3 linked regions of the Mus musculus genome follow. The protein of the gene in region 2 purifies or fractionates together with the protein of the main gene of each other region. This does not show direct contact. Links are inferred from orthologs where the notes say so. Each region holds a gene or a part of one and is shown on either strand. Other genes may lie near its edges.

Region 1 (10,224 bases), on a different chromosome or scaffold from region 2:
AAAACTCCTTGTTCTTTGGCAATAATTATAACTCTGAAATAGCCTTAGAGAGACAAGAATTTTACAGTTGTAATACACAGACTAAGAATGGTTCAATGCAGCCGGGCATGGTGGTGCACGCCTTTAATCCCAGCACTCGGAAGGCAGAGGCAGGTGGATTTCTGAGTTCGAGGCCAGCCTGGTCTACAGAGTGAGTTCCAGGACAGCCAAGGCTACACAGAGAAACCCTGTCTCAGAAAAAAAAAAAAAAAAAAAAGGTTCAATGCATATAAAGATGCCACCTGAAATCTTTCCTGAAAGTCTGGGGATTGAATGGTGGGCTGTCCTTATCCAGTACACAAGGCAGTAAGGAATAGTTAAGTTATTCTTCCAACATATTTCCTTTTCTCCTCCACCCTCTTCATGAAACACAAAAAGCAGATCTCATAAAATACAGCGCCTAGTTCACGAGCACTGCCGAGAGTCTTGACATTACAACAGAGAATCTGTCCCCTGGATGACAGGGACAAAAGCTAATCAGCCCTCCCCTCACTGATGTGAATGACACTGCCTTTACACTGTCCTGTCATCAAAACTTCAACTCTTATGAGCCCTCAACTCTTCCAAAACAGATATAAAAGAAAAACAAAACAAAAAGATTTAAAACTCTTTACCTGAACTGTCTTAAGATGGTGTAACCATGAGAAGAAGAGATGAGTGTTTATTCCTAGCCCTGATTCATGTTAAAAAACAAGAGCATTTCCTTCTCACTTTTTGTTTTGTTTTGTTTGTTTTTCGAGACAGGGTTTCTCTGTGTAGCCCTGGCTATCCTGGAACTCTCTGAAATACCAGACCAGGCTGGCCTCGATTCAGAAATCCTCCTGCCTCTGCCCACTAAGTGCTGGGATTAAAGGCGTGCTCCACCACTGCCCAGCCCTTGTCACATTCTTAATAATCTGTTGGTGAGGCTCACCTCTGAGCTCATAATCTTGGGAAAAAAAATGTGTCTCTCTTGGTAGCACAAGTTAAGCATTCAGTGGCTAGCTGCAGCACCAGTGGCCATTACAGCAGAAGGGAAAGGAAAGAGACCATACTCTGTAAGGTATGCTAACAGGCCAAGAGGAAGAAACCAACCAACAAAGAAATAATTGACATTTAGTTTAAGAATACATTTAGAGATGGGCAGTGGTGGTGCACGCCTTTAATCCCAGCACTTGGGAGGCAGAGCAGATGGATTTTTCGAGGCCAGCCTGGTTTACAGAGTGAGTTCCAGGACAGCCAGGCTACACAGAGAAACCCTGTCTCAGGGAAGGAAAACAACAACAACAACAAAAGCATTTAGAAATACACATATGTAAACATTTCCTATTCTGACGCTCAGAAATCAGGTTTAGAAGGCATCCTACAAGACATTCACAAAACAAACAAATAATATGAACAATAAAACTGAATTTGAGGGGACAGCAATTAAAGTGCTTACTGCTCTCGAAGAGGCTCTGAGTTTAGTTTCTGGAAGCCACACAACAGTTCACAACTATTAACTCCAGCCCCAAAGGATCTGGTCCCTTCTTCTGTCCTAGCCTCCACAGGCACTACCCTCACATACATCCATCCCCACACAGACACAGGCACATAAATCTTAAACATGAATCTGAGGGGCAGAGGCTGTGGCCCAGCAGCAGAGAGCTTGCTTAGTTTACCTGAAAACCCCAAGTTTTGTTTCTTTGTTTGAGACAGGTCTCACTATGTAGCTCTGGCTGTCCTGGAACTCACTTTGTAGACAATGCTGGCCTCAAAATCAGAGATCCACCTGCATCTGTTTCCAAGTGCTGGGATCAAAGGCATGGACTAATGGACTACCACCATCAGCCTTGGCCCCAGTTCTTTTGTTGTTGTTGTTGTTTTTGTTTTGTTTTTCAAGACAGGGTTTCTTTGTGTAGCCCTGGCTGTACTGGAATTCACTTTGTAGACCAGGCTGGCCTTGAACTCAGAAATCCGCCTGTCTCTGCCTCCCGAGTGCTGGGAATAAAGGCGTGCGCCACCACAGCCGGCTCTTAGGCCCTAGTTCTTAAAAGAAAACAAACAAAATAGAAAGATGGGTACAAAGCAAACACCTGTTATGTATTACCTATGATTGGTGCCTCACACCAGTACACCAGTACTTAGGAGGCTAGGTGAGACAAGTTTGCAAGACCAGCCTGGTGTGCATTATAAATTTCAGGTCAGCCTGGGATAAAGTGAGTTCCTGTCTCAAAAGTCAAATAAACAAGCTGAAGAAATGGTTCACTGGGGCTGGAGGTGACTCAGCGGTGAAGAGCACTGGCTGCTTGCTCTTCCAGAGGTCCTGAGTTCAATTCCCAGCAACCACATGGTGGCTCACGACCATCTGTAATGGGATCCAGTGCCCTCTTCTGGTGTGTGAAGACAGCTACAGTGTACCCATATAAATGAAATAAATCTTTGAAAAAAGAAAGAAAGAAAGAAAGAAAGAAAGAAAGAAAGAAAGAAAGAAAGAAAGAAAGAAAGAAAGAAATGGTTCACTGTTTTAGAGTACTGGCTGTTCTTGCAGAGGACCCAGATTCAGTTCACAGCACCCACATGGCAGCTCACAGCTACCTATACCTTCAGTTCCAGGGATCTGAGACCCTCTTCTGATCGTCTCCAGCATGAGTCATGCAAGCGTTGCACAGACAGCCATGCAGGTAAAACACCCAGACATAAAACCAAATTAAAATGTAAAAGCTTACTCTTACATCTTACATACATGCATCCGCATTCAAAGTTTTTATGTTACTTCATAATGAACATTTTCTAGTTTTGAGCACCACGGGGAACAAAACTTAGCATAGCCACTCTCAAACTTTTCCCAGTACAAATCCCAAAGGTACTAGGATTGGTCAAACCTACCTTAAAGAGTCAGGGGGCTTCTCTACTAAGTCTTGCCAGTCTCAAGCACAGTCCTACCCTCTGCTACGAGCAATCTACAAGCCTTGTAGGAACCATACTGACAACTGTGTTCCGGCTCCCTCTCCTTGTTGCTGAAAGCACATGATTCTTCTACTGACCAATAATCTGCAAGTTAGCTACAAAAGGAACTGCTTTTAAGAAAGAAAGAAAAGAAAAGAAAAGAAAAGAAAAGAAAAGAAAAGAAAAGAAAAGGAAGGAAGGGAGAGAGAGAGAGAGAAAGGAAGAAAGAAAGAAAAGAAATCCCACTACCTTTTGAAAAGTTGTGCCTCTGAGGCTAACTGGACTTAGATACCAACTAAATGGAGGCTCACTCTTCGATCCTAGCTTTTAGTCAGGAGTGGTTAATTACTCTCCAGATGGCATGGATGATAAGTTCTGGGTTTGGGAGAACAGATCTGACTTGACAAAAGGCTAAACAGAATTCAGGCAACCCAGTTCTCTATGTTTTAACAGTCTAAGACAAGATCCACGGGAAGACAAAACACAATGCAAATAAATAACGGGGGAATAGAAAACGAGGTGCAGACTGCTCACTCGACGCTTAAGCCATTTGAAGACACACAACAACAGTGTCGGGCAGCAGGTCAAAATACAGCCAATTAAATTTGTAAGAAATTTAACCAAAATTGTAACAAAGCTGCTAACAATATCCAAACTTGCGGAAACAGGGGTAACAATTGTTGAGTTTAGCGGTCTGCACTTTCGCATGAGGAAAGGGTCTTGAATTGAGGAATTAAACGCCTTCAATGCCACTCACCTTCCTGCTTTTATCGCCGACCGAAGTCAGGCCCAAGATCCTGAGAAAACTGGTCTGGAGGTTCGCTGAAGAACTGAGAAAAGTGAAAGTTTACATGGCAAAGGCGTCTCTTCTGAAAGTAGCCAAAATATTTATGACCACACTTTAATGTTTTTTTTTTTAAAGTCTCCTCACAACTATTTAAAACCAAAACAACTTACCTAACTCAATTCTGACTACTGAACAAAACCCATGCCCGTAATGGAAACACAAAGGATTAACACAAGATTTAAACGCCAGGCAAAGTTATCTCCCAGCTCCACCAAGGCTAAAGAGTCACTTATGAGGAAAACCTGTATCTTTTCAACTCTTAAACCAAACCACCCGTCTCAAGCAAACTCCGGAGCAGGGGGGGGGAGGGGAGAATCCGCGGGAGAATGTGATCGCTCTAGTGCGGGTTTGTTTACAGACTACACCAACAATCATGAGTCAGAAATTCAAGCCGCCAGATGCTTTCCAACTAATAAGGACCAAGCGGGACCGTTCTAAGGTGTCCTAAAAGATTTCGGGACACGGGGAGGGGAAGTACATTAAGAGAACTAGATCACAAAGCATTCAAGAACAGACTGCCAGTTTCTTGGACCTCGGCCTTCCGTACGAGGTGCTGGGCCTGAGATCTTGGGATGGGGGAAGGGGGCACACTGCGCGGTGGCCCTGAAGTGACTAGGAGACGCCAACAGAGCCGGGTCCCCAAATTATAAAGGGAGAAATGAGAGTTTACGAATGGGTCACCGGACGAACGAGAAGCCCCTGTGAGTCATGGGGTTGGCCCTAGGGGGCAACCCCGTGGACCGACCCGGGCAGAGGACGAGTCCTCCCAGCACCGACTCGGAGGAGGGGAGTAAGACTTAAAGTCCGGGAGTTTTAGGAAAGGGATCGGGCCTGTCCTGCGGGGAAGCGGTCAGGGAGAGGGGGGAACAGGCCGAGCCGGACGAAACACGGACCCGGTAGGTCAAGGGGAGGGCGTCCGGCTGGGGCAGTTACAAGCACGGGAGCTGGCGAGGCCCGGCAGCCCGCTTCCCATCTAGGGTCATCCTTCTGCCAGCGGATGCTCCGACTGTTCCAGGCCCAGCCGCCCCGTCCACTGCCGCCACCAACGCCGCCGCCATCTTACACTGGCCAGCGGCAGCCACCACCACCGTCTCGGGTCTCCGCGCCTGCGCCTGCGCCGTCACGCTTTCCGGCGGGGTTTGCGACGCTGTGCTGGAGGAGACTGAGCGAGAGCGGTCCCGCGAGCTCTGGGCTCCCAACCCTCCCGGTGGCCGCACAAGGGGCGGAGCCTCGGGCCAACCGAAGCCGCGAGGGGCGCGTGCGCGGGGCGGAGGAGTCAAGTTGTTTTCGTACTTTGAGAGTGATGGCTTGTCTCCTGGTATTCAAAACACATGCGATCTAGGGGCTCCTTGGAGTTGTGCCGGAAAATGAACCTCATTCCAAAGGCTCTGGCAGGCAAACTTCTAGGTGTCCTCCAGGCCTGAGGTTCTAATTCTTGCCATATTTTTTTGTTTGTTTGTTTCCTTGTTTAAAGAAAAACCCCTTTCTCCTTTCAGGCTCAAAGCTGCATTTCCTTCAATGGCTTCTTAAGAGGCCTTCTGCCAGCACCCATTTGTCCATTTGTTTAAAAGAGTCACTAAGGTTTGGGGATGTTGGAATGCTTCCTAAGGGTCTAAAAGTTTTAAAAGTTTGATCCCCACACCTGGGGGTGGGAGTGACACGGCTTAGAAACAGGATTTATTTATTCATTTGAAACAGGATCTTTCTACCCGGGCTGTCCTGGAACTGTAGATCTCACAGAGATCACCCACCTGCCTCTGCCTCTCAGGCGCTGGGATTAGGATTAAAGGCGCTCAACGCTGCAGAGTTTAATTTTTTAAATGAGCATACAAACTAACAGGTTACAAACTAGCACTCAGGAGGCTGAGACAGGATATACACAAGTTGGAGGTCAACCTAGAACAACGGATAGTAAGTTCGGGGCTAGAATAAGTCCTTCCCCGATCCCCAACACACACACACACACACACACACACACGCAATAGGTTTCCATGTGGCATTTTCATATGTATGTGTCATGCCTGTTTCTTCATGGCCCCCTTCCCACTCATTTTCCCCTTCTTGGTTACCTTCCTCCAATAACTACCACTAAGTTTTGTGACTAGTGTATACTCCATTCTCTTTTCTTAGCTTTCCTTCAACTCTCTTTATATCTCTTCCTTGCCTCTCAGTCTCCTGTCTACTTTGTTGTTAAATATGAATACGTGTGTGTAATTAATAGACATATGTATACATGAACTTAAATCCAGATTCTGCATATGGGAGAGGACATGCCATATTTGTCTTTCTGAGTCTAACTTATGTTGTTTATAATCTGCAAATACTATTTCATTCTTCATAGTTGATGGATCCTATTGTGTATATATTCTATATTTTCTTTAATTCATTCATCTGTTGATAAATATCTAGGTTTATTCATAATTTAGCTGTTGTGAAAATACAGCTAAAACATGGATACGCCACATAACTCTGCAGGTTGCTGGTTTTAGGTAACCTCTGTACACTACTTTCTGCTGACACCTAAAGGAAACCTAACCAGGATTCTAGGATTCCAGATTACTCCTAGCTAGCAGGCTGGAGCATTCTTATTTGTAGCAGAAAAATCTAGTAGGATCATTATATCCAGGGTAGGCAGTAGAATAAAATAATTGTTTTTCACTGTTTAGGGTAGACATCAGAATGAAGAGTTTTTTTTCCTGGAAGTAATGTTTTTGTTTTGTTTTGTTTGTTTTTCCAGACAGGGTTTCCTTGCCCTGGCTGTCCTGGAACTCACTTTGTAGACCAGACTGGCCTTGAACTCAAAAATCTGCCTGCCTCTGCTTCCCAAGTGCCAAGACTAAAGGCGTGCGCCACCACTTCCCGGCTTTTTTGGAAGTAATTTGACCTTGAAAAAGATCCTTATAGAAAACCGAGGTGCTTTCTCTCATCTATGGGGTTGTTCTTCTGAAGGAGCTTTACAGTCTTTCAGTGACTTCTGGGTCACAAGATGGTCCTGGCACACCTGCAATACCTTGCATTATCGAGGATTGCAAACAGTACACAGTAAGGACTAGAGTTGTAGGGTGGTTTTCTTCAGGAAACATAGAGCTTTTTAGGGTCTTTAGTATAAAGGAATTTATTCCCCCCTGCCCCGGAAAAAAAAAAGAACAACTTGTGTAACAATCAGTAAACATACTTTTGGGCAGATGTTCAGTACTCAGTCCACAGAGGCTGACTCTTCCTGATGCCTGCAAGGCCAAGTTTCATCCTGCGCTGTTTCCTTTGGTGTGACTCAGAACACCAAGGTTGTTGAAGATGTTTTAGGTGGGTCTCCTGCATCCCAGGCTGTATCCCGCCTCTACCTCCAGAGCCGGGATTACAGGGAAGCATCGCCATTGCTGGTTTATGCAGTGCTGGAGGTGGAGCCACGGGGCTTTTGGGCATGTTGAACAAGTACCCTAACAACCAAACTACGTCTTCGGCCTCTCTTTCTTTTAACCAGAAGGTTAAGGTACTAAGTACAGACTCCTCAACTCTACCCCATACCAATACCATTCCCCTCCTCCCAGGTGTTTTGAGACAGGAACGAGAGTAGCTCAGAATAGCTTCAAATTCACTTCTGAAACTGCTGCCTCCATCTCCCGAGGGTCGGGCATGTGCCACTATGTCTGATTTTATTCGTTGTTGGGAATCAAACTGAGGCCTTCGTGGATACTAGGCAAGCACTCTATAAACTGAGCTCCATTGCCAGATACATTCTATCCCAAGCTGTCTCTTGTTGACTACTTGCTGAAGTAGACATGTGGTAATTAATACTGTTAACTCGACAAGATCTATAATTAGTTAGCAGGCAAGCCTCTAGGCATGCCTGTGAGGGATTACCTAGATTAGGCTAATTGAGGTGGGAAGACCCACCTAATTGTGGGTGACATCATTCCATAAGCTGAGGGGCTTGGCTGAATATACAGAAAGTAAATCGAGTACCAGCATTTATTACTGTTTCTGAACACAATGTGTCCAGCAAGCCTCCAGCTGCCGCGCTCTCCCCATCATGATGAATGATGTCCCCTCAAACTCTAAGCTGAAATCAGTGCTTCACTCACATAATTTGTCCAGCCATTTGGAGAGTAACTACTCCAGCTAGTTTGTCTATCTCCATTAGTGCCCTCATACGAGCAAACGTCAGGCAGCTGAGTGACTTTTAAGATGTAAGTCAGGTCATAGTCCCCTACCCAAAACATCCATTACTTTCTCATCACATAACGAAAGTCAAAATTATCTAGACTGGGCCGAGCATACGTCCCCGGCCTGAGGAGGTGGTGGCGAGCCCACCGCCGTTTGCTGCGACCTCATGGAAGGTGGCGGAGGAAGTAGCAACAAATCCACCAGCGGGTTAGCTGGCTTCTTCGGAGCCGGAGGAGCGGGTTACTCGAACGCTGATTTGGCCGGCGTCCCGCTGACTGGTATGAACCCCCTGTCTCCTTATTTAAATGTGGATCCACGCTATCTCGTTCAGGATACTGATGAATTTATTTTGCCAACTGGAGCTAATAAAACCCGAGGCAGATTTGAACTAGCTTTCTTTACCATTGGAGGATGTTGCATGACAGGGGCCGCATTCGGGGCAATGAACGGTCTTCGTTTAGGATTGAAGGAAACCCAGAGCATGGCCTGGTCCAAACCAAGAAATGTACAGATTTTGAATATGGTGACTAGGCAAGGAGCACTTTGGGCTAATACTCTAGGCTCCCTGGCTTTGCTCTATAGTGCTTTTGGTGTTATCATTGAGAAAACACGGGGTGCAGAAGATGACCTCAACACAGTAGCAGCTGGAACCATGACCGGGATGTTGTATAAATGTACAGGTGGTCTTCGAGGAATAGCACGCGGTGGCCTGGCAGGACTGACACTCACCAGTCTCTATGCACTGTATAACAACTGGGAGCACATGAAAGGTTCCCTGCTCCAACAGTCACTCTGAAGATTTTTGGCACCTCAGGAATGGGGGACACTTCATAGTCATCCAGATCAATTAATAAGCCAGTCTGGAGTTGCTTTCTGTCTTGTACCTACAGTTACTTTGAACAATTGGAGACTCTGATTTGCTGTGACAAAGATCATGGATGGTTAGCCTGGACTGCACTGCTTGCCCTCAGTGAGTGGAAGCCAACCCCTTGGTGGCTCACTGAGTATGTGTTCTCTTCTCCTTTGGAGATGATCTTGCACCCCAAACTGGAAAACCACTTACTCTCCAAATTCAGGCCATACTTTTTATTACCATGTTAATTCATTTAAAAAATCTAAAACTTAAATGTTGCCCTGTTTTCCAAATAAAGGGTGAAAACAGAAAAAAAAAAATTATCTAGACTGATGGCTCAGCAGTTAAGAGCACTAACTGCTCTTCAAGAGGCTTCTGTTTCAAGTCCCAACACCCAACATACTAGCTAACACACTCCAGTTCCAGGAGATCTGATGCCCTCTTCTGGCTTTGTAGGTATTGCACACAAATGGCACACAGACATATATGGAGGGAGGCAAAACACCACGCATTAAATCTTTTTTTTTTTAAAACCAAAATTAGCTCCCAAGGTTCTACATTATCTGGTTCCTATCTTATTTCTGATTTTATCTCTTCCCATGCTGCCTGGAGCTGCTCTAGCCTCATTACCTTTCTTGCTATCAGGAGTACCATATTATGTTCCAGCTCAGTGTTTTACCTTGCAATGTTCAGCTATGTTTATTACACTGCATCTCTCCTAAGTCAGGTCTCTATACAAATGGCACTTTGGTATAACACATAGTTATCTACGGATACCAACTCTGCTTTTATTTCTTTATTTCTTTATTTATGAGGCGGGGTCTCACTGTGTAGTTCCACCTGGCCTTGGAGTCTCAGAGACCCATCTGCCTGCCTCTGCCTCCAGCACACTGTGAGTAACAGCATGTGCCACCACACCTGGTTCTGCTTTCATTTTCACAAGAAGAGGTCTCACAGGCTGAGTGTGGTGGCCCACACCTGTAATTCCAGCCCTTGAGAGTTGGAGGCAAGAGGATCGGTAGTTCAAGTGAGCTATACAGGACCCTGTCTCAAAAAACAAACAGGAAGAGAGGCAGGGAGGGGACAGGCCTCCAAGTGTTGGGCTCAAGTGACCCTCCAGCTTTAGCCACAATATTGGCGTACAGATGCACATGACTGCACTCAGTCTGTATCATTTTTCAAAAGATGTTTTACTGTATAGCACTTAATCTATAATTATATATTTAATTTAATTTCATATGTATGGGCAGTTTGCCAGAGTGGCCATCAGATCCCCCAAAACTGGAGTTACAATCATGAACTGCCATGTGTGTGCTGGGTCCTCTGGAAGAGTAGACAATGCACTTAACCACTAAGCCATCTATCTATCTAGGCTTCCATTATATATTTTAAATCTAACTATATTATTAGAGTG
Region 2 (10,262 bases):
GAGCCTGAAACAGAAAGATAGTCAAAAGTTTGAGGCCAGCCTCAATTGCACACTAAAACTCGGTCTCAAAACAAATGATAATAATTAACAAACACATATTTAAAATGAGCTTCCTATAAAGGCTCACATTTGGGGTTCAAGAGGTACCCTGAGACATATTGTGGTTTGGGGGTAAACAATTTATTTTAAGCATTATTAATGCTACAGAGATTGTGCTGGAAGTTGTGAAGAGATTTCAGGCCGGGAGACTAACAGGAGTAAGGAGTACTATTGCATCTTACAGGTTTTAGAGAGGTAGGTAACCCCATTCCATGTCATGAATGACTAGTCAATAGTACACGATAGAGGCACGCACTCTTATTCCAGGACTGGAGTTCATTTCCCAGTACCCATGTCTGTACACTCACAACCACCTATGACTCTAGCTCCAAGGGAAAGAGGAAAAGTTTGTTTCTTTAGCTAATGCGTGTCTATCATATGAGATGTGCCGCCTGTAACCGCCGATTGCTGGGGTTTGGTGCACCGCCTTAGGGGAAGTGAGGATTGCAGACTGGTCAGAGTTTATTTTTTATTTTTTGCAGAAGCTGTGAGGATGAAGAAAGAGGCTCTGCAAGTCAGTATAGCCTGACTAGTCCTAAGCCCAAGCCTAACATGTTCCAATAGACTCTTTTACTTAGTCAATTAATTAATTAAACAGGGTATCATTCTGAAACTCTAGCTGTCCTCTGACCTATGCTGGGGTATGCACATTATACACACACATACACACACACTTACACACTCAAAATAGAGTAAAAAACAAAGGTGTTCTTCTATACACTATTATTGTTTTGTTTTTCTTTCTTTCATTCGTTTTGTTTGTTTGTTTGTTTGTTTGTTTGTTTGTTTTTCGAGACAGGGTTTCTCTGTGTAGCCCTGGCTGTCCTGGAACTCACTCTGTAGACTAGGCTGGCCTCGAACTCAGAAATCCTCCTGCCTCTGCCTCCCAAGTGCTGGGATTAAAGGTGTGCCCCACCACACCCAGCTTGTTTTGTTTTTCGAGGCAGGGTGTCTTAGTCAGGGTTTCTATTCCTGCACAAACATCATGACCAAGAAGTAAGTTGGGGAGGAAAGGGTTTATTCAGCTTACACTTCCACATTGCTGTTCATCACCAAAGGAGGTCAGGACTGGAACTCAAGCAGGTCAGGAAGCAGGAGCCGATGCAGAGGCCATGGAGGGATGTTCTTTACTGGCTTGCTTCTCCTGGCTTGCTCAGCCTGCTCTCTTATAGAACCCAAGACTTCCAGCCCAGAGATGGTCCCACCCACAAGGGGCCTTTCCCCCTTGATCACTAATTGAGAAAATATCCCACAGCTGGATCTCATGGAGGTACTTCCCCAACTGAAGCTCTTTCTCTGTGATAACCCCAGCCTGAGTCAAGTTGACACATAAAATCAGCCAGTACACAGGGTTTCTCTGTGTAGCCCTGGCTGTTCTGGCATTTGGTTTGTAGACCAGGCTGGCCTCAAACTCCAGAGATCTGCCTGCCTCTGCCTCCGGAGTATTAGGACTACAGGTGTGTTCCACCACTGCCTGACTTTTTAATACATTATTAAAATCTGCAAAAAAAAAAAAAAATCATTCCAAGACAGATGAAGGGAACCCAGCTTTCCTTGAGCTCTAGACAGGGGTTGAGTGTTTTAAGAATATTGTTAAATTGCTGTTAGCACTAATGATGACCTTCCCTTCCTTCAGTTTTTCCTCTAATGGAAATCTCTTTAGGTTTATAGTATAAAAACTCCCAAGGTTTATTTTCATGTAACTAACCAAAGACATTGGGAATAGGGCAACTTAACTATCTAATTATCATCTATTGTACCCATCTCTCTCACTGTCCAGGCTGCCCTGAGGAAAAGGACTGTCAGTCTCATAAGTTAGCTAGATGACCCTTAGACTAGCACCAGCAATCTGGGACACACAACAGAAGTCTTGAGACAGCTGTGTAAAGATTGAAGCTGATTTTCCAGTGTATTTGACATAGTTGTTACCAGATATTTTGCTGTCATAGACCCCTATGAAATGTAGATGAACCTGAAAGCATTTCCAGCGTGACAGGAAGGGAGCCCTTTCCCTAGTGGAAGGACTACTGCGAATCAGTGCAAAGCCATGATTGGTCCAAAGCACATACTTCAGTGACTGTGATTAGTAAAAAAAATAAATAAATAAAAATAAAAAGTAGCCCGGGCGGTGGTGGCGCACACCTTTAATCCCAGCACTTGGCAGATTTCTGAGTTCAAGGCCAGCCTGGTCTACAAAGTGAGTTCCAGGACAGCCAGGGCTATACAGAGAAACCCTGTCTCGAAAAACCAAAATAAAAATTTAAAAAAATGGCTGTTATTGGCCCCAAATGAATGATTGTGGACCAAATACTCTTTCTTGGCTATTTAAGCAGGTCGCTTAGCCTTAGTTATTGTCCAAGTAGGAAACGTTTTCTTTTATTTTTATTTTTATTTTTATTTTTTTTATTTTGGAACTCACTCTGTAGACCAGGCTGGCCTCGAACTCAGAAATCCGCCTGCCTCTGCCTCCCAAGTGCTGGGATTAAAGGCGTGTGCCACCATGCTGGGCAAGTAATTGTCTTTTTTTTTTTTTTTTTTTTTTGGTTTTCTTTTTTGTTACAAGTAATTGTCTTAATCACTGTTCTATTGCTGTAAAGAGACACCATGACCAAGGCAACTCTTCCCCTCCCCCCACCTTTTTTTTTTTGTTTGTGCGACAGGGTTTGTTTGTGTAGCTTTGGCTGTGATGGAACTCACTTTGTAGTCCAGGCTGGCCTTGAACTCATGAGGTCTGCCCGCCTCGATTAAAGGCTGTGATTAAAGGCGTGGGCCACAAGCCCTCCCAATAGCAGTTGCTAAGTTGTGTAAAGAGGTTGTCTTGAAACTGAAGAAGCTGAACAATTCAAGAGTAATTACTACTGGGGAGATGGCTCAGGGGATGAAGTGTTAGGACCTGAGTTTAGATCCTCAGTACATCGTTTTAAAAGCTAGGCATGCTGGGTATGGTACACACCTTTAATCTCAGCATTCAGGAAGGAGAGGAAGGCGGATCTCCTAGAAGTCTGCCTAGACGAATAGCAAGTTCCCACCAGCTGGCCAACATTGTAAGACCCTATCTCAACAAACAAGTGATCAAGTCTCTATAGATTATATGCAACATGAAAAATTTTATATCCTGAATAAATTGTCTTCCCCATTCCCTTTTACAGCCTTTCCTCCTTTTGATCGCAATTTTCTCTGTGTTTAGTATTGACAGTGTATCCACTTGAGACCTGGAAACTAATAGCCCTCCTTGGGAGGTAAAGGCAAGAGGATCAAAGTTCAAAGCCATCTTCAGATACACACTACAGAACTCATGGCCAGGCTGGTTTACATGAGAACCGCTAGCAGCAGCACAACACGCAGAGCACCCTGAGCTACTAAGTACTGGCAGCTGCCCCGCCCATTAGCAGCACCAAGTATACACTGAGCATGCACCGCTCCCCGACGGAAGCCGAGAAGGAAAGGGGCGGGCCGTGGCTGGCGGGCGCGGGGAAAATGGCGGCGGCAGCTGCGGCGGGGGCGAATGGGAGCGGAGGCAGCAGCGGCATGGAAGTGGATGCAGCAGGTAACGGGGTGCGCAGACCGACTTCTGGAGTTGCCCTTGAGAAGTGGTCTTGAGTACTTCTTAAACCTGTCCCAGGATAACTTGAGGGCAGCGATGGACGGCCGGGCTCTGCTGGTCCCCTGCTTCCATGTCTAGGGGAAAATGTGTGGGCCCGAGCTCTCAGCCGCTATGTTTTCCTTTCACCTTTAACAGTCCCCAGCGTGATGGCCTCCGGAGTGACTGGGAGTGTTTCCGTCGCTCTTCATCCCCTTGTCATCCTTAACATCTCAGACCATTGGATCCGCATGCGCTCCCAGGAGGGGCGGCCTATGCAGGGTGAGTGTTGTGTGTAAATCTCAAAATCTCTTGGAGATTTCCTCCAGTCACTCCCCTGCGCCCTTTCTTCCAAATTATTGTTTCCCCAGTCGTTGATTCACGCCGACTCGGGAAAGGTTTTCCGAGACGCCTGTTCCTCACCTAGTTTCCTTGCGCTTCTGTTTCTCTCCCCTTAGTGATTGGGGCTCTGATCGGGAAGCAGGAGGGGCGAAATATCGAAGTGATGAACTCCTTTGAGCTGCTGTCCCACACCGTGGAAGAGAAGATTATCATTGACAAAGAATATTATTACACCAAGGAGGAGCAGTGTGAGAGGGGAATAGAAGTGGGTGGGGAAGGAAAAGTGGGAAGATTTTTGTTTTGTTTTGTTTGTCTTAAAGAATAAAAGGCCTGAGGATGTAGGGCAGTGGGGTAAAGTGCATTTCCTAACATTCGGGAAGACCAGAGTTCAATCCTCAGTACCATATAACCCAGGAGATAGAGGCAAGAGGTCAGAAGTTCAAGGTTAGTTAGGTGTAGTTATTTTAAACTGACCCAAAATATGAGGAGGGAGGGGAGAACCGGAAAGAACACACCAGGCCCATCAAACTAAGGAAGAGAGGTTTAAAGGAATATTTACTCTGGCCCCTTCTTCTCCAGTTAAACAGGTTTTCAAGGAGCTGGAGTTTCTGGGTTGGTATACCACAGGGGGGCCACCTGACCCCTCAGACATCCACGTCCATAAGCAGGTATAGAAGCTCAAATATGTGCATGTTGGGGAAATGAACAGAAGGTTAGGGGAAGAGGAGATACTGACTCTTCCTGGGCTTTGCCTTATCTTCTAGGTGTGTGAGATAATTGAGAGTCCGCTCTTTCTGAAGTTGAACCCTATGACCAAGCACACAGATGTGAGTGTTGTTGACCCAATGTCCCCTTTTTCTTGATCATCTGCCACTATGCCTTTGCTCTAATTTACCGACATTATGTGTATTAGAGAAAGCTTGAGTTGAATCTCTACCCTGCTGTTTACACCCATCAGTTGTGTGACTTCATCTCTTCAGTGGTGTTTCCATATGTAATGTGTGTAAAACCTAGAGAAAGCATGAGCCAAGTGTGGTGACAACACTTGTAACCAATCTTAGCACTCAGGAGATTGAGGCAGGATTGTGAGTTCAAAGCCAGCCTGGCATGTGTGTAAGTTCAAGTGCATTTGCTTTTAGTAAGAGCTGTTCTCTTGTCTCCGTCTGTGTTTTTACAGCTTCCTGTCAGCGTTTTTGAGTCTGTCATCGATATAATCAATGGAGAGGTAATATATAACCTGCAACCTTCAAACCTTTTAGCCTGTTTCCTGCATGCCGTGTGCAGGCATAGGACAACCCTGGGTGTCCATCCTAGCTTTCTACCTTGGGACAGACTCACTTGTTTGCCAGGCAGGTTGGCCTGTGAGCTTCTGGGAATTGTGTCTCCACTTCCCATCTTGCTGTAGGGGTTCCAGGATTACAGTCACATGCTGTCACATCTCACTTAATGTGGGTTCCGAGGCTCTAAATTGAGATCCTCAGTTGTGCAGCAAGTACTCTACCTGCTGAGCCATCTGCCTAGGCCTAGGTCTGTTTCCTGACTCTCCCTATCTGAGAACTCTTTACTCTGCAGGCCACAATGCTGTTTGCTGAGCTCACTTACACTCTGGCCACTGAGGAAGCTGAACGGATCGGTGTAGACCACGTGGCCCGGATGACAGCAACAGGCAGTGGGGAGAACTCCACTGGTAAGGGAGGGGAATTCAGTCTTTGGAGGTAGGGGTTGGGTGTGGCCACAGGCCGCCCTTCATTTGCCCCATTCCCCTGCAGTGGCTGAACACCTGATAGCTCAGCATAGTGCCATCAAGATGCTGCACAGCCGTGTGAAGCTCATTTTAGAATATGTCAAGGCCTCTGAAGCAGGTAGGAGAGGTGCCTGTCACTTTGAAACATTTTTCCTCTCCTGGAAAAGTGACAGCATCCACATCAGTGCAGCCTCCTTGTGTCCTTAGGAGAGGTTCCCTTCAACCATGAGATCCTGCGGGAGGCCTATGCCCTATGTCACTGTCTTCCAGTTCTCAGCACTGACAAGTTCAAGACAGACTTTTATGATGTGAGTGTTGACACCTTTGATGGGGAGGTGGGGCTCACACCACCTCACAGGTAGGAGGTGAAACTCAAGTGTCACTGGCTAATACGAGGGACCCCTGGGGAACTGGTTCTTTGTGTTCCCTCCCAGCAATGCAATGACGTGGGGCTCATGGCCTACCTCGGCACCATCACCAAAACGTGCAACACAATGAACCAGTTTGTGAACAAGTTCAACGTCCTCTACGACCGACAAGGCATTGGCCGGCGAATGCGGGGACTGTTTTTCTGATGATGGTTCTGGAAGGGATGGTGTGTGGGGCTCAGACAGCTGTTCCATGGACCTGAGTACCACATTCCCTTTAGAGAAACTCATTAATAAAAGAGCAGCCCCTTAGCAGCCCTTCCAGTGGCTTTGTCCTCTCAGGCACCACACTGGTTTCTCAACATGGACTCTTAAGGAAGCTTCACCCATTAATCCACATTTTTTGACCACCTACCCACCTTTTAATGACTCGAGGTGACCCCTTGTTGAAGTAGACAAAATGTGATAGGACGACCTGCTTGCTTCCAGTTTTTGTGCTCTGTGATCAATTCATGTCACAGCTCCACAGAAAGATTGCTTTCCCAGGCTAATTTAATTTCACTGCAAATGTTTCTCAAATAGGAAGGGGAGGGAAGCTGAATTCCATCTTTGTAATTGTGGTTATCTCAAGTCCTTGTTTTTCTATATCCTGAAGGTACCTAGGAGGGTGATATGTACCTCATCCTTAGGCCTTCCACTTAAGTCATACCTTGTGCTAGGCGCAACTTTCTGCCCTTCACATCCTGGTGTCATCACGTCTAGATGTGGGGGTCTAACAAACGAAATGTCCATAATTGGAAGCATCTCAAGAAACAGTGGTCCCAAGGCCTTCTATCTCCCAGATTGACTAGCACATAGTAAGGGTCAGTACTAGAGACTAGGGGAGGAGAGAGCATACTAAAAACTCTACAGAGTTATTAACAAGCAAGAGGCAATCAAAACACTTTATTGGCAGAATAAAAAAGTGCAGCATGGGAGAATGAGATTTTTTCTTGAGGGGGCATTCAGCATGCCCTCTGGTGTAGGCAGGAGGGTGTAAAAACTGGCTATCAGACAAAGGTGATCCGTGTCCGAGAAGTATTAACCTGCCAGACATTTAGCTCCTCATATTCATCCAGAGCTGCCTGGAACTGGGCTGGTGTGAAGCCACGAGATATGCAGCGCTGTTCAGCCTCAGAAAAGTGGACACTCCGCCCCCGTGACACCAATTCACGGATGGTGGCAAATATCACATCTGCTGGCCTCTGGGTCCTAAAAGACAAGGATGGAAAAGGTGAAGGTGCAAGGCCACAAACAGTAGCAGCAATCAGCATCAAAACCCTGAGGGCAAGCCAGGTCAATAAGCCCAGTGGTCCAGTCTCACTCTTCATTAAAATCCTCACCTAGCTGTCTGTCCCTTTTCACCTAGAAGGGAGTCCTTCGACATCTCCATCAACCTTATGGCTTCATTTACATCTTCCTTCTCCACAATGTCTACCATCCGAAGTCGAGCCTAAGGGGAAGGCATAGAAAAGATTGGGATAGGAGGGGAGGAGGGGAATGAAGTCAAGGATCTTTCTTTGCTCCAGCTTCAAGCCTGGGCAAGCCACATTTGCCTACTCATTGAACAAAAATGGGGACTCCTCCCTGCCCCCCCACATCTGCAGTGTTGGGCCGGCACTGTCAGACCGAGACAAGTGCAATGCCCAGGGCAGCGTCCAGCAATTGCCCAAGTCTCCGCCTCTCAACACTGGCCAGTCCCGGTGGGTGTTCAGCTGTCCTGTGAGGGAGACCAGACCCTTCTGAACTCCACTAGGCTCCCCATCAAACAAATGGAGCCTGGGGCGCTCAGCTAGGGCCACTATCAGAGGTTGTGTCCTGGGGGCTCGGGAAGTGCTAGCTCAGCAGTAGGTCAGGTAATTACACTACCTGCACGAACAGCACTTTGGAGCCCCCATGACTAAGGTCCAAGAGGGGAGGACAGAATGGAGATTTCTAAGATCATATCTAGGACACCAGGAATTCAAGTCCTAGCCCTCATGGATTCAAGCAGCAAGCAGCCTTTCCCTCCATGGGCGTTGCACGTGCCCTGCTGGAGCAGCAAGTACCCACAGTGCGGTAGCACAGAGAGGACCACTATCTGCACTGTCAGCACTTTAGTCCCAGCAGGGCTGGTAGGAGGGAAGGAGGCGGCTTGAGGGTCATTAGGTGAGGTGGCAGGCAGGGGTCAGCTTTCCAGCTGACAGGGACCCACCACTCACCAGAGCAGTGGAAAGTCGGAGAATGGCCAGCAGGGTCCGGGCAGAAGTATAGGTGGCATCCTTACTGGCCCGGGCCTCTCGCCTCATCTCCACATATGCTGCGGTGATGTAGTCAGCCAGAGATTCAGGCACTGTGGGCTGTCTCTCGTGGCACATGGCTATGTACCGTCTGTGGGAAACAAGGTTCATGGGAAAGCGGGAAAGCAGGCAGGCTTTATGAGATTCCCCACTTAATATTCTATGCTGACGTGGACAGTGAGGGATTTCTCCAAAACAGGGCTGCCAGGACACTTCAAGTAACTTCCAACTTTTCAGGAGAATGACATTTACCAAAGCACCTGTAGTGGGAGGATTTAACTTAACCCCTTGACAGACTTCAGAGACCATGTGAAAACCAGTTTAGAAACCCGAGTCATCTGTGCCATGGAAGCACTTATGGCCAAAAAGCTAGACCTGCCTCGGACAGGATTTAGAGAGTGAGAGAGGTTCCTTTATATACAGGAGGGAAGTAGTTTTTGGAGACATCCCCAAAATGACTCAGGTTTCAGAGTAGCTAGGATTATATAAGGCCTGCTGCTCTGTCATCCCAAAACAGAAAAAAAGTTTCTGATGATCCCTTGGCTACAGAGAGACCCAGGCTCAGCTACTTTTGAGGCTGAAATAGATAAGCAGATGAGTCCTTTCAAGACTCAATGCTTTCCAGACACACTTGGCATAAGACAATGCCACAGACCAGTACTCTCCCCAGACATACCCATCTCCACCCCTCCTACCTCATAAGTTTCATGTCCAAAGGTTCAAATTGGGCAGGGGGCTGCCGGCTGTGCTGGTGGACATAGGTGATGTGCTGGGCCAACCTGGAGAGAAGACGGGCGTCAGTCTTTAGAGCTCTAACACCCTGAGAATCTTGACTCAGTATCCCCTTTTAGCACCACCTCTTCTCCAAAGCATGGCAGACAGGCCTCCCAGAAAACCCTCAAGATCTTAGCTCCAACCTATCTCCATATGAACTGCAAACAAGGAAAGGTGTTTAAGGTGTCTGCACACAGACAAGTTGAGTGGCTTTCTGATTTTACCTCCCTGCCCCAAAGTCACTAAAATGGGCTGTCTCTATGGGTGTCATCTACTTCATTCACCGGAGGTCATTGTCTCTGTCGGGCCGGTCTTGAATCAGCCAGAGGAGGTCGAATCGAGAAAGCAGAGCAGCCGGAAGCTGGACGTTCTGCTCCAGACTGCGGCGGGGATTATATCGGCCGTAGGCAGGATTGGCCGCAGCCAGGATGGAGCATCGGGCATTGAGCGTGGTGAGAATCCCCGCCTTGGCGATGGAGATGGTCTGCTGCTCCATAACCTCATGGATGGCTGTGCGGTCAGCCTCGGCCATCTTGTCAAACTCATCAATGCAGCACACGCCCTGGTCAGCCAGCACCAGGGCACCGCCCTCTAAAGTCAGTTCTCCACTCACAGAGTCTCTCAACACAGCTGCTGTGAGCCCTACACCAGAGGAGCCACGGCCTGTTGTGTACTGACCTGCAAAGATAAAGAGCAAACTGCTGAAGAAAGGAACCGCTTTCCCCAGGCCTTCCAGAGGCCTTAGTGTTTATCAACCAAACACCAAGCCTCATCCCTGTTCACACTCACTTCGCGGTGCCAGACGGTCGATGTAAGATAGGAGCTGAGATTTGGCCACACCAGGGTCTCCCATAAGGCAGATGTGGATGTTTCCTGGCAAATGAGAAGGAAGCCTGAGTGATACTCTTTACCCAAGTTGTCCACCAACAGAGAAGAGCACTTGAGACCTGGTCCCTTCTTAAAGTCCAGACTACTTCTAAGACACAACAACCACTAAGGTAAATCATCAACTCTTGTCATTTACAGACTCTCGTGGG
Region 3 (10,235 bases), on a different chromosome or scaffold from region 2:
AGGTTTATATGCAGATTCAGAACTTATACACATTAATAAATAAAATCTTTTTTTTTTTTTTTTTGGTTTTTCAAGACAGGGTTTCTCTGTATAGCCCTGGAACTCACTTTGTAGACCACACCAGCCTCGAACTCAGAAATCCGCCTGCCTCTGCCTCCCAAGTGCTGGGATTAAAGGCGTGTGCCACCACTGCCCGGAAATAAATAAAATCTTAAAAAAAAAAAAAAAAGTAAAAAGTAAAATATTACAACTCAACTTAGAAACACACACAGAGGCTGCAGATCCAGCTCTACTGTAATAAAGCATTTGCCTACCACCACAAAACCCTGGGTCTGTGCTCATATGTGTGTGTGTATTTATGTATATTATGCATGTATTTATACAAGTATATTGTATATAAATATATTATGTATATATTATAAAGTAACATATACAAATACCTATATATAAACTCAATCTGGTGGTACCATACCCATACACCTTTAATTCTAGCACTTAGGAGTCATACATAGGCAGGCAGATCTCTGAGTTCAAGGGAAGCCTTGTTTACAGAACAAGTTCCTGGACAGCCAGAGCTACACAGGCATGATGGCATATACTTGTAAGGGAGACAAGACTATAAAGTAGTCAACAGTCAAACGAAACATACATGCAGAAACACACACACACAAAGGAGTTACTAAGGAAAACATATAGGGGGGAAAGTCAAGGTTATTTTTGGCTATAGTGAGTTTAAATAAAACAAAGGCCTGCCATGTAACTCAGTAGTAAATGTGCCTGCTGTTTAAACTGATGACCAGTTTGATCCCTGAGACCCACATGGTAGAAAGAACTGAAGCCCAAAAATTGTCTTCTGATCTCTAAATGCAAACCACAAATACAAGTGCCCTCCATTTACACATACTAAGACATAACTTTTTTTATGTGTATGAGTGTTTGCCTATATATGTATATATTTGTAGATGACAGAGAGGGCATAGGATATCCTAGAACAAGAACTATGAAGTGGACTGTTGTGAGCTGCCATGGGTGTTGGAAACTGAACTAGTTCCTCTACAAGAATAGCAAGTGCTTTTAAAAGCTAAGACAACTCTCCACCCACTGATGTCATTAAGTGGCTTACCTAGCATTTAGAAAGCCCCCTAGGTTTAATCCTGAGTCTGTATGATACATCAGTGGTATTTTCCTTTTCTTATTTTTTATTTTTGGTTTTTTCGAGACAGGGTTTCTCTGTGTAGCCCTGGCTGTCCTGGAACTCACTTTGTAGACCAGGCTGGGCTCGAACTCAGAAATCTGCCTGCCTCTGCCTCCCAAGTGCTGGGATTAAAGGCATGCACCACCACCTCCCGGCCAGTGTTATTTTCTAGTGATCCCTGTCTAATGTTCACTGTAACTGTTGAAAAATGACTTTCCTGGGGGAAATATGAACCTAACCTGTATTATGGAAGGGGAAAATACATATTCCCAAGTTGTTCTTTGCCTTCCACATAAGCATGCCCATACCCATCCACACAAAAATAAATGTTAAAAATATTTTTTAAGCATGAATGTGTTGTAGTAGTGCCCACATTTAATTTCAGCACTCAGGACACAGAGACTGAGTTTGAGGATAGCCTGGTCTACACAGTGAGGTCCAGGACAGCCAGTACTTTGTAGAGACCTTGTCTCAATAAATACCTAAATAAATACATACATATATAATATAAATAAAAAATAGCATGGGGCTGGAGAGATGGCTTAGTGGTTAAGTGCACTGACTGTTCTTCCAAAGGTCCTGAGTTCAATTCCCAGCAACCACATGGTGGCTCACAACCATCTGTAATGAGAACTGATGCCCTCTTCTGGTGTGTCTGAAGACAGTTATAGTATACTCGTACATAAAATAAATCTTTAAAAAAATTTTTTTAAAAACCCATATGCCAGAAAGATTTTGCTGAAGGGACCCTGTTATACCTGTCTCGTATGAGGCTATGCCAGTGCCTGGCAAATACAGAAATGGATGCTCACAGTCATCTATAAGATGGAACACAGGGCCCCCCAATGGAGAAGCTAGAGAAAGCACCCAAGGAGCAGAAGGAGTCTGCAACCCTATAGGTGGAACAACAATATGAACTAACCAGTACACCCCCCCCCCAGAGCTCGTATTTCTAGCTGCATACGTAGCAGAAGATGGCCTAGTCGGCCATCACTGGGAAGAGAGGCCGCTTGGTATTGCAAACTTTATATGCCCCAGTACAGGGGAATGCCAGGGCCAAGAAGCGGGAGTGGGTGGGTAGGGGAGCAGGGCGGAGGGAGGGTATAGGGAACTTTTGGGATAGCATTTGAAATGTATATAAAGAAAATATCTAATAAATAAATAAATAAATACCATGAGTGTGACCCATCCATCAAAAGGCTTTAATACAAAATTTATAAGGTATCATTTTGTTTGGAGTAATATAGTGGGTATGCATCATTTAATTCATACTTTCTTTGGAGGGCAGGAGTCTAACTATGTACCCCTAGCTAGCCTCTATAGAACAGGCTAGCCTTGAACACATAAAAGATCTGCTTGTCTCTGCCTCCAGAATGCTTAAATAAACCACTACAATGTTTTTTTTATAAGAATCATGCAAAAAGTTATGACACACACCTAATGATGATACAATCAATGGTCACCAAGTTGGGATATCTAGCCCAGGACATTGAGCTAAGTAATTAACTAACTTACATGCTTAATTTTCACAGCCACCCTGTGAGGTGACTTTTATGGATAAGGAAATGAGTTAGAGAGATTTTCAAGACCACACAAATGACACATCCCAGAAAAGAATTAACAATTTAAAAGAACTCAAATCCCAACTCTGCTGAAATGTCTGTGAATTCTTACTTAACTTCTCTAAGTATCAAATTGTTTGGGGGAAAAAAAACTCAACTTCTCTATTAAATAGAAACAGTTGTGGGAGCTAGTGAAAATTCTATATTACAGAATATGAATTCGTAAATGTTTAAAATATCAATTTATACACATGAAATTTCCTCACTCATAAGAATGTGTACAAAGTATTTAGAGGTGATGTACCTACCAGCTCAAATTCCATAAAATTAACACAAGAAGATACAGCAAGCAGTTAACAGTTGAAACTGAAAGATTATCACTTATTTTTAGTTTCCTACTTAAAAGTTTGAGGGGCTATGCTAGGCAGTGGTGGCCCATCCCTTTAATCCCAGCACTTGGGAGGCAGAGGCAGGTGGATTTCTGAGAAAAAAAAAAATAACAAATACACAACACTGTTAACAGTAAATACTATGCTCAAAAAAGTTCCTCAAATTACCTTAACAACCCAAAAAAATCCCAGTTCGAAATGGTTAATGAGTAACTGCTATATACAAACACAAATCTTAAGGTGGGGCAGTGCTGGTTTACACTTTTTTTTTTTTTGGTTTTTCAAGACAAGGTTTCTCTGTGTAGCCCTGGCTGTCCTGGAACTCACTCTGTAGACCAGGCTGGCTTTGAACTCAGAAATCCGCCTGCCTCTGCCTCCCAAGTGCTGGGATTAAAGGCATGCACCACCACCATCCGGCTGGTTTACACTTTTAATCCCAGTGCTCGGGGAAGCAGAAGCAGGCAGATCTGAGTTCGAGGCCAGGCTAGTCTAAACTGAGTTTCAAGGCAACCAAGGCTACACAGAGAAACCCTGTCTCAAAAAACAAAAACACAAATCTTGAGATCAGACTGAAATGTACATATGCTTATAAAAGCCTTGAAGGTAAATGCCAGTAAATCCAAGGAGAAAAAAAGCCTTCAAAAGCTTGCAATAGGAAGATAGTGCTACAATAAGTTAAAACGTGCATGCTACTTAAAAGTCTTTGCCTGAAAGTTAAAAAAAAAAAAAAAAAAAAAACAGCAAACCCGGCAGTGGTAACAGACGCCTTTAATTACAATACTAGAGGCAGAGATAAAAGGATATCTTAGTTCGAAGCCAGCCTAGACTACAATGAGCTCCGGGAAAAAAAAAAAAAAAAGAGCAACGTAAGATAAACAAAAAACGAGTCATTTGTTCCTCAAAAACTACTACTAGACACACCGCAAGAGTATTTCCTCATCAAATGTTAAAACCACAGCAGTAAGAGGAAACGGACCGACACTTTCTAGGAACAGAAGACAAAGTATGGCAAATGCCCTTGAAAGCCCAACAAACAACTAAAAGCCCTCGGAATAAGCGCTGGGGAAACCTGGCAGGCAACCTTAGGTCAGACTCTGGGCGTCTGGACACCCACATACCTCTCTCCCCGTCCCCTCGCTACTGCATTGTACAAGTGGGAGGGGTTCCCGCCGAGCTCCGCCCCCTCCCCGGTCGGAGAGCCGGGAGGGTGCAAGTGGGAGGTGGCACGGAGCCGACCGAGGGAAAAGCCCGCCCAGGTGACTGAGGCTGGAGGCGGGGACACCGTTCCTGAAGGGGTCCGCCGGGCGGCATGGGAAAGAAGATGCCCCTCGTCCCGTGAGGGACAGAGACTTGGAGTGGAAGAGAGAGATTCAAAGAGCACCTCCTTTAGGTAGAGGCGAGCATCCCCTGCCCTCCACACCCCGGCGGAAGAGTTACTCTAAAGAGGCTTCTTTACAGGACGGGAGGAAGGAGCCGGAGGCCCCGCCCCCGGGCCCGGGCCCGGGCTCGGAAGGAGAGCCTCGTCAGGCCCCGGGCCCAGCCGCCTCGGTGGGCTCGCCCAGCCCCTCGCCGCCCGCAGCCGAAGCAGGTGCCGCCCCTCCCCCCAGCGCGGCGCCCACTCTCCCGCCCAGCGGGCCGCGCGCTCGCTCTCCTCGTGCCCCTGCCAGAGAGCCGGCCCCTTCCTAACCCCGCTCACCTTCGCGAGCGGCTCCGCCGCTTCTCCCCCCGACCCCTCCAGCGGCCACGGTTCTCACACACTGCCTCTGGTCCCGCACTCACTCTCCCTCACTCACTCACACACACACATATACACACACACAGCGCGACCACGGCTCCTGAGCGGCCCACATATTATGCGTCACTCGCAGGCTACGTACTGGTCGCGCGCGCACTCAGCGCGCGCGGGTGTGTAACGTTGGCGCGAGGCTCCGGAGCGGGGAAGGGGGAGGAGCCGAGGGACATCAAAGCGCTCCTGGGAAATGAAGTTTCCGCGTTTAAGGGCGGGGGAGGGATGATGGCGCTAGACCTACCATTAAGCACCACCTCAGCGCATTGACTTCTGGGATTCGTAGTTTTCTTTAAGGCGGAAGTGAAAAGTAAAGGAAGGAATAGATCTTTCTAAAAGCCCGGGCTGCCCGAATTTACTTAATTCTACCCTGTGTCATCTAAGGGCTCAGTAGGACACTGCCACATCAGGCTCGGAAGGATGCCAGGGTCAAAGAATGCATTTCACACAAATGTATTCAGAAACAACTGTACTCGTTAGAAATTCGTCGGTTTTCCTTTGTCTTTCTGTTAAAAACATATTCGACAGGAATCAAAAAACATCAGTTACCATGTATTATATGTGAGGCAGAAAAATGAAAGCCCTTTGGTGAAAACAACTAATCACGGAGGCCATCTAATTCAATTTATCAATTTTAGAGTTAAGGAAAATGAAACCCACAGTAAATGACTTGCCTAACTTCACAAACCAAAGGGAAGCTGCATCGGAAGGATCTGGTTTTGACCCAGCGATTCTGTGTGATAACATGGAAGATTACGATAACTCCACAATTGAGCAGAATCTTGACAAAACCTACCCAGACGTCAGGATTCATGCAACTCACTATTGTTCTTGGCATTCTGAGCGAGTTCTGTGCGTTTCCATAGAGCGATTACAGCCAATACGTTCTTGTGGAAATTATAAGACACTGTGGACCTCTTGTCATGATCAGATTCTACGGCTGTTACTAAGCCTGTATCAGAAGAGTGGTAGTGGCAGTGGCGCATGCCTTTAATCCCAGCACTTGGGAAACAGAGGCAGGCGGATCTCTGAGTTCAAGACCAGCCTGGTCTACAGAGTGAGTTCCAGGACAGCCAGGGCTACAGAGATTTCCCTCTGGAAAAAAAAAAAAAAAAAGCAGGAAGAGGAAGGGGAAGAAGAAGAGACAAAGAAAGAAAAGAAAGAAAAGCAAGCAAGCAAGCAAGCAAGCAAGCAAGCAAGCAAGCAAGCAAGCAAGCAAGCAAGCAAGAAAGAAAGAAAGAAAGAAAGAAAGAAAGAAAGAAAGAAAGAAAGAAAGAAAGAGAAAAGCAGCAGCCAGTATCTTAGGGCTTAAATCCACTACCACCCTACCCCCACCCACCTGAGCACTTCGTTCCTTCCTCACTCAATTATGTGCTTGGAGTAACAGCTGCTTGAAATACAAATTCTAGAGGGTGAATAGCAGTGCTACAGGCATATAACTTGTAATCACGCTCTTGCTACAACACAGCTTTCTCCTGTGCATCTGAAATCTTGTCTCTTGAGCTATAATGACCATTATTTATTTAGACTCTATAGCAGACTTGAATCAAATGGTTTTTTTTTTAAGATTTATTTATTTTATGTGAGTAGCCTGTCACTCTCTTCAGACACACCAGGAGAGAGCATCAGATCCCATTACAGATGGTTGTGAGCCACTATGTGGTTGCTGGGAATTGAACTCAGGACCTCTGGAAGAGCAGTCAGTGCTCTTACCTGCTCAGCCACCTCTCCATCCCTAAATCAAATGTTTTAATTACACTCATTATTCTCAACACCAGGGCAGATAAGGCTAGCCAACTTTATGGAGGAGAAATCAAAAGTAGTAATGTTGAATGAAGAGTTTCGCTGGGCATGGTGTCACATGCCTTTAATCCCAGCACATGTGAGGCAGAGGCAGGTGGATCTCTGAGTTAGAGGCCAGCCTGGTGTACACATTGAGTTCCAGGATAGCCAGAGCTACATTTAGATAGATAATGCCTCAAAACAGACAGACAGACAAAAAAAGATACAGATTTGGGGGCTGGAGAGAGCCTAACATGAAAGAGCATTGGCTGCTCTTCAGAGGACCAGGATTTGATTCCCAGTACCCAAATGGTTTCACAACCACCTGGAAATTCAGTTCCAGGGGATCAGACGCCCTCTTCTGGCCTCTGGGCATCATACATGCATGGAGTGCACCTACATAAATGCAAGTACAACACTTGTATACATAAATAAATCTTTAATTTTTTTTTCAAGACAGAGCCTCGATATCCAGCTCCAGCTGTCCCGTACTCCCCTGTGTAGACCAGCTCTGGCACTGAAATCACAGACATTCCCCTGCCTCTGCATTCCAAGTGCTGCAAATAAAGGCGTGTACCACTGTGACCAGCTACATTTTTATCTTAAAAAAGAGAGTTCACAACACCTAAAATACTATTTCAGGCAGCTTTCCTGCCATATCTTCTTGGGCTATAAGCCCAAAATGTAGAGGGATGGCTCCTCCAGGTATCCTCAATCCCTTGGATACCTTACCTCTTCCTGTGGTCTAGATGCAAGAGCCCTTGTGAGGACCCAAAGCCCAGTTCATCAAAGCAGGAGTTGCTACCTCATTCTGTCACCAGATGGCACTACCCCACTTTAGGAACCCAGTGTGGGGGTACTGGATTGGAGGTCTTAAGGGGCATCAAATGGGATTGTAGTAGAAAAGCAGAAATACAGGGCCTGTCTAGAAGCAACTCCCTCAAGAATATCTACCATGCCAGGCAACAGTGACGCACACCTTTAAACCCAGCACTCAGGAGGCAGAGTCAGGAAAATCTCTAGAGTTTGAGGCCAACCTGGTCTATAGAGAGAATTCCAGGACACCCAGGGCCACTCAAAAAAAACCCTATGTTGAAAAAAAAAAAAAATCAGCCAGGCAGTGGTGGCGCACGCCTTTAATCCCAGCACTTGGGAGGCAGAGGCAGGCGGATTTCTGAGTTCGAGGCCAGCCTGATCTACAGAGTGAGTTCCAGGACAGCCAGGGCTGCACAGAGAAACCGTGTCTCAAAAAAACCAAAAAGAAAGAGAGAGAGAGAGAAAGAAAAGAAAAGAGAAGAGAAGAGAAGAGAAGAGAAGAGAAGAGAAGAGAAGAGAAGAGAAGAAAAGAAAGAGCTGGACATGGCAGTGCAAGCCGCCAGTCCCAGCACATGAGTGGAGAGGTGAGGATCAAAAATTCAAGATCATCCTTGGCTAACACACCAACTTTGAGGCAAACGTGAGACACATGAGACCTTGTCTCCAAAAATAATCTCCACCCTAGAACTTTTGCAGCCCTCTCTCCCTCACTCTGAACACTGTGTAAAACCACAGCCACATGCGGCCAAGCACTCCAGACTCCCATTCTGGAAAGAAAGAGCAGCACCCAGGCGTCCCTAGCTACATATTCCAGATTCAATCATTGGCTATTTCACAGGAGGGGTATTACCCACATGGCTAGATAGAAAAGTGTGTGTGTGTGTGTGTGTGTATGTATTAGGCACCCGTGTTTAGAGCCAACTTTCACGCCTAAGCACACAGAAACACAAAACCACAGATAACCCAGGCCTGCGCACCTAGCTTGATTCTGGCACATTGGATCTGAATCTTTAAAAGGAGCATTTTGTCCTGGATTGTTTGTTTTGGCTTCTTTGGTAGAATATCTGAGGGCTTTGTCCTACTGTGCTCTACTCGTGCCTCTCTCCCTGCTGGGACAACTGGGAAAGTAATCCCTGCCAGAAATGGGAGGAATCGTGCTTACTAAGCTCCCCAGAATCAGAAAGGACAAGAGGAACAGGACGTTGGTGGGGCATGCCTTTTCCAGCACTCGGGGCAGGCAGATCTCTGAGTTCTAGGCCATCCTGGTCTACAGAGTGAGTTCAGGACAGCTAGGACTGTTGCACGGAGAAACCCTGTCTCAAAAACAGAAAACAAAACAAAAAAAAAGAGATAGTTTTGAAAATAAAGGGTTGGGGGGGGAGGTGCTGGAGAGATGGCTCAGTGCTTAAGAGTACTAGATATTCTTCCAGAGGACCAAAGTTCAATTCCCAGCACCCACATGGCATTTTATAAGTGTAATTCCTGTTCCAGGGGATCCTCACATACGCACGTGCAGGCAGAACACCAGTGCACATAAAATTTTAAAAAGTCATTTTAAAAAGTGAAGGGCTAGCCTGTACTGCCATGCACACATGTATGAACAGAGACAGTGTTTTAAGACAATAAAACGGGAGGCAGAGGCAGGCAGATTTCTGAGTTCAAGGCCAGCCTGGTCTACAAAGTGAGTTCCAGGACAGCCAGAGCTAAACAGAGAAACCCTGTCTCGAAAAACCAAAAAAAAAAAAAAAAAAAGACAATAAAAGGACAAGAGGCACCCCAGCTCCAGCCCCAGAATCAAGGGTAACAATCCTAGACATAATCTACCTATCCCTGTCACAAGTGTGCCTGTTATTTATAAAGAAAAAAATCTGGGGCTGGCGAGATGGCTCAGTGGGTAAGAGCACTGACTGCTCTTCCAAAGGTCCTGAGTTCAAATCTCAGCAACCACATGGTGACTCACAACTACCCGTAATGAGATCTGATGCCCTCTTCTGGTGCGTCTGAAGACAGCTACAGTGTTCTTATGTATAATAATAAATAAATCTTTAAAAAAAAATAGAAAAATCCACAGTAGCATCCTCTGGGCCTCAAGCTCCACCTCCTTCTATAACTACTTTTCTCCAAGTGCCTCCTTTCTAGGTTCGCCCTACCCTGGTGCTACCCAATACCCCCTGCTTTCTTCTGGAACTCACTGAAGCTAGATGAATCTTTCATCTGCTTAATGCTCTGTTAATTGAACAAAACTAAGCTACCAGCATCACAGATGTTTCTGAAAATAGTATCAGTGCTTCCAAGCTCTGGGGACCCCAGCCTAGACAAAAAGGAAATCTCAGTCATGCACTAGTTGACCCACCTAGTGAACTCCAACTGTCCTCCAGCTCCCCCAAGCTTCCCAATCTTCCCCCCAGAATGTGGGTAGAGAGGGCACTCCTACATAATTATATCTCTGTCCACCACTTCACTTAACAGAGAAATAAACTGAGGCTCTACAAAGATAATAGCAACCACATGGTGACTCACAACCACCATGGGATCTGATGCCCTCTTCTGATGTGTCTGAAGATGGCTACAGTGTACTCATATACATAAAATAAATAAATAAATCCTTTAAAAGAAAGAGTTAAAAAATAACCCTTGGCTATATAGTAAAACCCTATCTCAAGCCTAGGTGACAGCACATGCCTTTAATGCCTCCAAGCATTCCG

Evidence for each region. Proteins that work in one complex are often made in the same cells at the same time.
Region 1: the proteins of Cops6 (region 2) and Dcaf8 purify together in Homo sapiens (affinity purification with mass spectrometry; 3 studies listed by BioGRID and IntAct, with this or other methods). This does not show direct contact. The link is inferred for Mus musculus from reciprocal best matches to the Homo sapiens genes COPS6 and DCAF8.
Region 3: the proteins of Cops6 (region 2) and Dcaf1 purify together in Homo sapiens (affinity purification with mass spectrometry; 7 studies listed by BioGRID and IntAct, with this or other methods). This does not show direct contact. The link is inferred for Mus musculus from reciprocal best matches to the Homo sapiens genes COPS6 and DCAF1.

What each region holds. Positions count from the first base shown.
Region 1 is NC_000067.6:172,142,801-172,153,024, reverse strand, and holds the start of Dcaf8 (DDB1- and CUL4-associated factor 8), read right to left. Parts: upstream 5,011-10,224; 5' UTR 4,687-5,010; exon of another isoform or gene 3,904-4,686; intron 3,777-3,903; 5' UTR 3,704-3,776; intron 1-3,703. UniProt on the Homo sapiens protein: May function as a substrate receptor for CUL4-DDB1 E3 ubiquitin-protein ligase complex.
Region 2 is NC_000071.6:138,157,537-138,167,798, forward strand, and holds Cops6 (COP9 signalosome complex subunit 6), read left to right. Parts: upstream 1-3,565; 5' UTR 3,566-3,576; coding exon 3,577-3,646; intron 3,647-3,838; coding exon 3,839-3,961; intron 3,962-4,137; coding exon 4,138-4,269; intron 4,270-4,600; coding exon 4,601-4,689; intron 4,690-4,785; coding exon 4,786-4,848; intron 4,849-5,198; coding exon 5,199-5,246; intron 5,247-5,593; coding exon 5,594-5,708; intron 5,709-5,790; coding exon 5,791-5,883; intron 5,884-5,972; coding exon 5,973-6,073; intron 6,074-6,199; coding exon 6,200-6,340; 3' UTR 6,341-6,448; downstream 6,449-10,262. Other genes in the region: DNA replication licensing factor MCM7, read right to left, coding at 7,183-7,384, 7,516-7,625, 8,374-8,542, 9,147-9,230, 9,510-9,903, 10,015-10,098. UniProt on the Homo sapiens protein: Component of the COP9 signalosome complex (CSN), a complex involved in various cellular and developmental processes.
Region 3 is NC_000075.6:106,816,699-106,826,933, reverse strand, and holds the start of Dcaf1 (DDB1- and CUL4-associated factor 1), read right to left. Parts: upstream 5,011-10,235; 5' UTR 4,843-5,010; intron 1-4,842. UniProt on the Homo sapiens protein: Acts both as a substrate recognition component of E3 ubiquitin-protein ligase complexes and as an atypical serine/threonine-protein kinase, playing key roles in various processes such as cell cycle, telomerase regulation and histone modification.